Cricetulus griseus: one gene and its partner. The protein of the gene in region 1 purifies or fractionates together with the protein of each later gene. This does not show direct contact. Links are inferred from orthologs where the notes say so. Each region holds a gene or a part of one and is shown on either strand. Other genes may lie near its edges.

What was found.
Region 2: the proteins of Rpl13a (region 1) and Ctcf purify together in Homo sapiens (affinity purification with mass spectrometry; 4 studies listed by BioGRID and IntAct, with this or other methods). This does not show direct contact. The link is inferred for Cricetulus griseus from reciprocal best matches to the Homo sapiens genes RPL13A and CTCF.

What each region holds. Positions count from the first base shown.
Region 1 is NC_048599.1:154,013,269-154,017,491, forward strand, and holds Rpl13a (60S ribosomal protein L13a), read right to left. Parts: upstream 2,924-4,223; 5' UTR 2,847-2,923; coding exon 2,832-2,846; intron 1,785-2,831; coding exon 1,712-1,784; intron 1,681-1,711; exon of another isoform or gene 1,598-1,680; intron 1,465-1,597; coding exon 1,399-1,464; intron 1,293-1,398; coding exon 1,191-1,292; intron 1,150-1,190; exon of another isoform or gene 1,065-1,149; intron 997-1,064; coding exon 911-996; intron 873-910; exon of another isoform or gene 803-872; intron 736-802; coding exon 676-735; intron 632-675; exon of another isoform or gene 543-631; intron 436-542; coding exon 313-435; intron 224-312; coding exon 137-223; 3' UTR 110-136; downstream 1-109. Other genes in the region: Flt3lg (fms-related tyrosine kinase 3 ligand), read right to left, coding at 3,978-4,103. UniProt on the Homo sapiens protein: Associated with ribosomes but is not required for canonical ribosome function and has extra-ribosomal functions.
Region 2 is NC_048596.1:181,953,896-181,957,543, reverse strand, and holds part of Ctcf (transcriptional repressor CTCF), read right to left. Parts: intron 2,427-3,648; coding exon 2,306-2,426; intron 1,056-2,305; coding exon 906-1,055; intron 30-905; coding exon 1-29.

The DNA of each region.
Region 1 (4,223 bases):
CACGCAGGTGATAAGCTTTCTAAGTACCCTCTTCCTACTGGAGCAGTGACTAAAGCACCTTTGTCCCCACTCCCCTGGTCGGCGGTGGAGGAAGAGCAGGCCAGGCAGGCATTAGCACAAACAGTCTTTATTGGGCTCACACCAGGAGTCCGTTGGTCTTGAGGACCTCTGTGAACTTGCTTATTTTCTTCTCCACGTTCTTTTCTGCCTGTTTGCGTAGCCTCTGTGAGGTGAAGTAACAAGCGGTGAGTGGCTTTCTCTCCCAGACTACCCTTTCCCGCCCCAGGGCATATGTGAGGGTCCTGTCCTCACCAAGAGCTGCTTCTTCTTCCGATAGTGGACCTTGGCCTTTTCCTTGCGTTTCTCCTCCAGCGTGGCTGTCACTGCCTGGTATTTCCACCCGACCTCATGAGCCAGGCGCCCCAGGTAGGCAAACTGCAGGGGCACAAGGCTGTAAGGACATGGGTGTCCCGGCAGCACAAGGGTGAGCTAAAGGACCCTAGAGGTTCTCTTAAAGGACATATCCCCCTATACAGGAGCCCCTACTGGCATCAGCTGAGCCTGTGGCATTATCGGCACTGCCAATCGGTGGCATCCGAAGACCATCGTGAGAAAAAAAACATCATCTGCCAGTCTACAGGTCCCACCTAGACCACTCTGCAACTTTAAGCTTACCTTTCTAGTAGGCTTCAGCCGCACAACCTTGAGGGCGGCAGGGACCACCATCCGTTTTTTCTGTTAGAGAAGGAGAAGGGCTCAGAGACCTTTTGTGAGCATCACCTGGGAAGGAGGCTGGTGGGGCAGGCGTCTCAGCTAGTGGCGTTTTCATGAGGCTCAAACAATGTAGGTAATAGCAGAACATCACAGACGCTGGACACAGGCTGTGGAAAGCTAGGCTTGCGCTGCTCACCTTGTCATAGGGAGGAGGGATCCCATCCAACACCTTGAGGCGTTCCAAGGCAGCCTGGCCTCGCTTAGTCTTGTGGGGCAGCATGCCTGTGGGAAGAACAGGACTCCCTTCAGAGGGGCTGAAAAGCGCTCTTAGCCCAGATCTGGGAGCCCACCCAGCCTCAGATGGTAGTGCATGTAGAGTTGTCTCATAGTTGGGAAACTCGAACACCAGTGGGAGATCGCTTCATCATAGGCTGCCAGATTCCCCATTCTCCATGGCACCCACAGGCCCAACTCACCTCGTACAGTGCGCCAAAAAATGCGGCTCGGGGCTCGGAAGTGGTAGGGGCCTCGAGAGGGGTTGGTGTTCATCCGCTTTCGGAGGAAAGCCAGGTACTTTACTGCCAAGAAGAAAAGTGGATGAGGTCGAGTCTACACCAAGGACCTGCTTGTCCAGAACTTAGGTCAGCACCCCACCTAGAGATGATGCCCTGGGCCCTCACTCACACTTGTTTCTGTAAAAGTTTCCAGAAATGTTGATGCCTTCACAGCGCACAACGACTACCTTCCGGCCTAGAGAGAACATGGGTTGTGAAGACAGCCAGTAAAGTCACCCCTAAACACCCAGAAAAACCACATCCTAGATGAAGTGCAAATCTCCTGCTCCAAAACCACTTGAACCAGGAAGGAGTCCAGGAGGGACCGTCAAGTCTCAGAGCGGTGCATGGGTTGATCTCACAGTCGTGAGACTCAAACGAAAGATGGTGATTGTTGCTCATCACTGACTTGCAGGCAAACAGAAATTCTGAATGAAACTTACCCAGTAGCACTTGCTTTGCCACAATGGCCGCCAGGCGGCCCAGAAGATGGCCTCTGCCATCCAACACTAGAACCTGTGGGAGACAAAAGGCTTAGGAAGCAGTCTGGCTCTCTCTACCAAGTTACCAACCACTCATGCCAGTGCCCTTCCCCACAGGATGACTTATCAAGCAGATAAGGTGCCCCAAAGGGGTACAACAAACCAAGAGAAAGCCCAAGGCTGCCCCAGCAGCACGTGAGAAGGGTTCAAGTGCCTGCAATCTTAACTGAGCCTCATCTCGTTGTCATGCAAAGACTCAAATGGCTGGAAAACTGCAATCTACTACTTCTTGTGCAAGCAGCCAGCCTTTAACAAAATCCCATGCTAAGACTTCGTTTGGGGTAAGTTTAGGCCACGGTGGCTCTGCATCATAGTCTCAACTCGCTCACAAGGAACAGAAACCATACCAATAGTATAAAGCAAAACCCAATAATTCACTATATAATGGCTGCCCTGTCTAGTTTGTAATTCTGGAAAGCAGCAGTCTTCAAGTCTCACACCTGGTGGCTGGCATGTGCTTGTAACCCGGCCCAAACGACAAGAGACGGGCAGAGATCCTCCAAGCATTTTTTAAGAAGAAAAAATACCCCAGCAAAGGTGATTTCGATTACTGAATAGCCTCAAAATCCCGATGCTTCTCACTAATTCATCCCGTAACACTTAAAGACTTTGAAAGCACCCTTAGGACTGACAGAAGCTACAGAAACCGGCACGCTTGAGTCCCGAAACCAGGAGTCTCTAACTCAGCAGCTTCGCATCAGAAGCGCAGCAGCGAGCGGCCCCGAGCTCCCCGCGTTCCAAGTGTCTGAGAGACGGACCTCTCAAGGTTGCTAGCGGGTGTCGGGGCCCCAAGCCCCACTCCCGTCTCCCCGGGAAACACGTAGCGTTCCGTCGCCCCATACCTAAAGACATGCGCGGCTCGCTATGCCCACGTTACACTGCCCTCGCGTCAAAACGTTCTTCCTTTGCTCAACTGCGTCCTTAAGTCCCACTGCACACGCCGAGCGGAGCGGAGGCCCCTTCCGCTCCGGCCTGGCGCCCGCCCGACCCCCCACACCTCCCGGCGCGCGCAGAGCCCGACCTGTCCCTCCGCCATCTTCGGCAGCCGCCTGGGAAAGGAGGAGGTCTTGGCGCAGGGTTTCTTATCCCTTGCCGCAGGGGCGGAGGAAGTGACGCAACCCGGGACGAACGGAAGGCTTTCTGTCTTTTCATTGGTTGAAGCGGTGTGCATGCGCACACTGGACGGTGGGTCATCTTTATATGGTCCAATCACGGACTGGTTTGAGCTGGACCTTCGCGGCCATGACTGTGTGGGGCGGGAGGTCACGTGGGTCCCGAGGCGGCTTCGGCGGGACGGGGCCGTCCGGCCCCGGCGGCCATATTTGGAGGGAGCGCTGTTCGCTCCCGTATCCGCTGTGCGCGGCGCCATTACTCCCTCAAGGACCGGCGGCTGCGGAGCGCGCGGTGGCCGCCAGGGGGCGAGCGTAAGTCCCGGCCGGTCTCGCAGTGTCCGCGTCCCCTCCCTTCAACCTCATGGTGTGCGGACAACTGATGGCCTTTCTTGAATCTAGGAGTTTCCGAATGTTAAACCGGTGGAGGTAGTCACCCCAGAAGGAAGAGACGGTGGGAGGAAGGACTTGCAGGGTCCTGGGCCGCAGACACGTGCTTCTGTTGCAATGGCCTTTGTATCGGCTAAGCATGCCATCTGAGATACCCTCCCTGAGGGGTACCTATACCTCCCACAACAAAACACAGATTGGGCCGTCTCACTGACTCACTTTCTCTAGAGAACCTCCCCAAACTCCCCAGCCTGACTCGATTCCTCCTGGAGGCTCCAGCACTTTGTTTTCCTGCCACTTGGTGGCTTTATGATCTTGCTTCTGCCTCACATCGGGGTTCTGTTAGAGAGAGCATCACCCAGTGCTGACCCTGGGCCATTGGTGGCCTCAGAAAACAAACCTGTTGTCGTGGTTTTGGCTTCTGACATAGTATTTCTGCAATCCTGGCTGGCCTTAAACTTGAGATCCTGCCTCAGCTTCTGGGGAGGTGGGATTACATGACCAAGCCCCGCAAAACCAAGATCCTGAGACCTAAAGCAGCCCACCCACTCCCTGTCCCGTCCACAGATAGGTCCGGAAGATCTGGTAAAAACCATTTATATACAAATTCATGGGAGCAAGGAGTTTGTACAGAGTGGGGTGAGTGGGGCTGGGTCCTGATGTTGACTTCATCCTGGGGAGAGGGCTGGAGGGGCAGCAAGGTCCAAGAAGGGGCCAGGCTCTACCCAACTTTCCCTGTGTCCAGGTTGTGCAACATCTGTCAGGTGACGCCTGCTTGGCCTCAGTATCCTCCTCTGTAAAACTGGATCATCAATGGTCTGTCTGAAGACTGGAGTTCTCAGCACCCTTCAAGCCCTCTACCACTGAGCTTACACCCTCCCACCTCTCCCTGCCCCTCCCTACACCCACCCCAC
Region 2 (3,648 bases), on another chromosome or scaffold:
ATAGGAATGCTGCTTTCGCAAGTGGACACCTGTAAATAAAATATAAAGCCAATTTGAACTTGTACAAACACAAATTAATATTTCAAAAACTTGCTCCACAGCCTAAGAACATGAGATCAGAAGTAAAACACTTGCATAGCAGGTGTGAGACCCTGGGCTCAGTCCCTACCTCCCTTCCCTATCTCTAATCCACCAATAACAACAGGTGGAGAGACCAGTGGGTGGAAGATGGAAACCTGAACAAAGAGGACGATATTAGACATGGAGGCCAGGAAGGGAGATCAATAGGAATTAACTGACAAAGAGAAAAGTGGATGCTGCAGATGACACCAAATGGCACAGCCATTTACAGAGATGAGAATGGTGGAAAGAGGGAAAGCTGTGTTTATTCTGGCAGGGGAGTATAAGTCATTTTAGAACTACACTGAATTTGAAACAATGACATTAACACACAGAAAGAGAACTCAAGATGATCCTATGTGTAAGCATGGTTACATTCCTACAGATGAATTCTCCCTCTGTGTAATTCTGGCTTATCTATATACAAGAATAGTTACCACCAAACCAGTAAAGTACTCCCATTACTGAGAGAATGTATAAATACTCTTAAAAACCAGAAGGAAACTGACCTTAATCTGAAACATATGTTACTTTCTGAACATTTAGGGGATGAAAGCTACTATTACGGGTATACTGGTTCCCATTTAACTTATGTGTAATCTATATTCAGGATATATTATCTTGTAGTGAGACTCCAATAGAGAGAAGATATTGGGGGGAGGGAGCTAAGCAATGATTTCATTAATTAGTAAACTGTTCACAGACACAAAAGTTTGAGTTTAAGGTGAAGTCTTTATACTTTTATTTTCATTAGTTCTTTATTTGCCTCTAGTAAATCTACTTACCCAAATCACTTTTTCGGGCTATGACAGTGTCACAGTGGGGACAATGAAATTTGGCCACATTTTCTGTGTGCTTCTGTAAAATGTGCATCTTCATGGTACCACTCTGGGTAAACCGAGCATGACAAATATAACATTCATATGGTTTTTCCCCTTAAAAGGAAATACAGAATGAACACATTAAATGAATAAATATTACGGCTTAGGTGGTGAGTAGCTGAGTGGCAGACATATATGTTAGGCCACACAGAATCTAAGGCCTTACTTAAGGTAAGGAAGGTGTAACTGTTCAGAATTAGCAAACCCTATACATTTGCTCTACTCAGCTCTCTACATACATAGCCTTCCATTTTATGATCACAGTCCCATCCCCCCTCCCCTGCCCCGACAGGGTTTCTCTGTATTGTTTTGGAGCCTGTCCTGGAACTTGATTTTTAGACCAGGCTGGCCTCTGCCTCCCAAGTGCTGGGATTAAAGGCATGCGCCACCAAGGCCCAGCAGGATCACAGTTCTTATGGCAAAGCTTACCTGGGGGGGAGGGCGCTATAATATAAATTTTTAGAAGCAGGGTCTTGTCTTGTAGCCTAGAACTGTCTCTGGCACTAGAGATCCCCTCAGCCCGAGTGTGAAGATTATAGGCTTGTGCTATCATACTTAGCATAAGATTTTCTGTTTTCAAAATGATAGTACTCAGGCAGAGTCAATTAGGTTAGATAATCTATCCAGGCATATTTTACTTTTTGAGACAAGGACTCACTATGTAGCCCTGGCTAGTCTGGAATTTGCCATGTAGACCAAGCTGTCCTCAATTCATATAAAATATCTGCCTGCCTTTGCTGGGATTAAAAGTGTATGCCACCACACCCAGCTTATATGTTTAAATACTAGATTTTAATTTCATTTGATATCTTCATTAAAAGAACCATTTTAAGTTATAAAAAGACACAAATTGAATAAAATTATTCTCCGGTATATTTTTAGAACCATCCTTTCTGAGTCCTTTTTTGTCTTTACAGACAGGGTTTCTCTGTGTAGCCCTGGTTATCCTTAAACTAGCTCTGTAGACCAGGCTGGCCTCAAACTCACAGAGATCTGCCTGCCTCTGCCTCCCGAGTGTTGGGATTAAAGGTGTGTACCACCACCACCTGGCTCTTTTTGATATTTTCTCTGTGTAACAATCCTAGCTGTCCTGGAACACACTCTGTACACCAGGATGGCCTAGAACTCAGAGATCACCTGCCTCTGCCTCCCAAGTGCTGGGTTTAAAGGCGAGCACCGTCACCACCCAGTACCAGAGCTTTTCTTAACAGCCTTCCTTCCCTTCAGTCAAGCCCTGGGTGCATGTGGCAGTTTACAGGATCACTGAGGAGCAGCTCATAGTACCGAGACAGGAGGAGTCCTACCTGAATGGGTTCTCATGTGCCTTTTCAGCTTGTATGTGTCCCTGCTGGCATAACTGCACAAACTGCACTGGAACGGGCGCTCTCCAGTATGAGAGCGGATGTGTCGTTTTAATTTGCTGACCTGAAACATGAAAGCAACCGAACCTCTTATACTTCTGTTAACATGGACTGTAATATGAACTCTATATGGTTTAGGCACAAAATTCTTAGTTTTGGGGTACTAAAGTTAGAAAACTCTAAAAGATAGTGTTTCTTCATTGTAGCCTTTGCTGTACCTCAGCAATATTACAACCCAACTAGAAGGGGATAAACAGGTAGGACATAGATCAGGCAAAATTGTCTTCACTCATAATTGAGTTGGGATATAAGGTACACATGGTATACTATATAGTTTTTACTTCATAACTGTGTCGTGTCCTCCCCCCCCCCCCCCCCCCCCCCCCCCCCCCCCCGCGGTGGTCCTGAAGATTGAACACAGGGATTTGTATTAGACAAGTGCTCTCTTATCCCTCACCCTCTTTCCTCTCATTAATACATTAGTATTTCCTAGACAGGCTGAGATCCAAGAGTCTTTCACTTCTCTTCCTTGCCATTGGCCATGCTTTCTGTCTCTCGGTAAACACCCTACATCAAATTATGAGTTTCAAATTTGACTCTAAGAAGCACTTTGAGCATTCATAATTAATGTCTATCTGAATTTTTTAGAAAAAGTTTTCTGATTTTAAGAGAAAACCCTTCCACACCCATGAGAATTACACATTAAATTTTCACATTTGCTCAATGGTCAAGTAACTGTCTTAGCTGAATTGCTTCATCTCTTTCTCCGCCTCTAGCTGCCATACCCATGGCTTCTTACATGCTAGGTGATGTTCTAACACTCACCTTAAAACCCCCACCTGATTACACATACTCTCACAATATTCAACAGCACACAACTCTCGTTAAATTTCAAATTTTTCTTAACTCGTCACTCACATTTTATTCTGATGGTAAAATTTGAGTCACATTGAATCTTTATTTATTCATGCCCTCTGAAAAAAATTTGTAACCTCTTCTAAAGATATCACAGAAACAGTTTTTTTTTTTTTTTTGTAACTTAGCTTAAGTCATTTCACCACTACCAGAATTAGAAGCACCTCAAAGTTTCATAGTTCTTACTATTCTTACTATTCCCAATTGAAAGTAAATTAAAAAATGCTCAGAGGTCTGAAACTATTATTACTTCTCTTTTTAAACAGTGCTGAGGACTGAACACAGGGTCTGGTACTCTACCACTGAACTACATCCACACCAAGTCCCCCAAATTAAGAATTGACAAGCAGCAATTAGCAAATCCAACACTG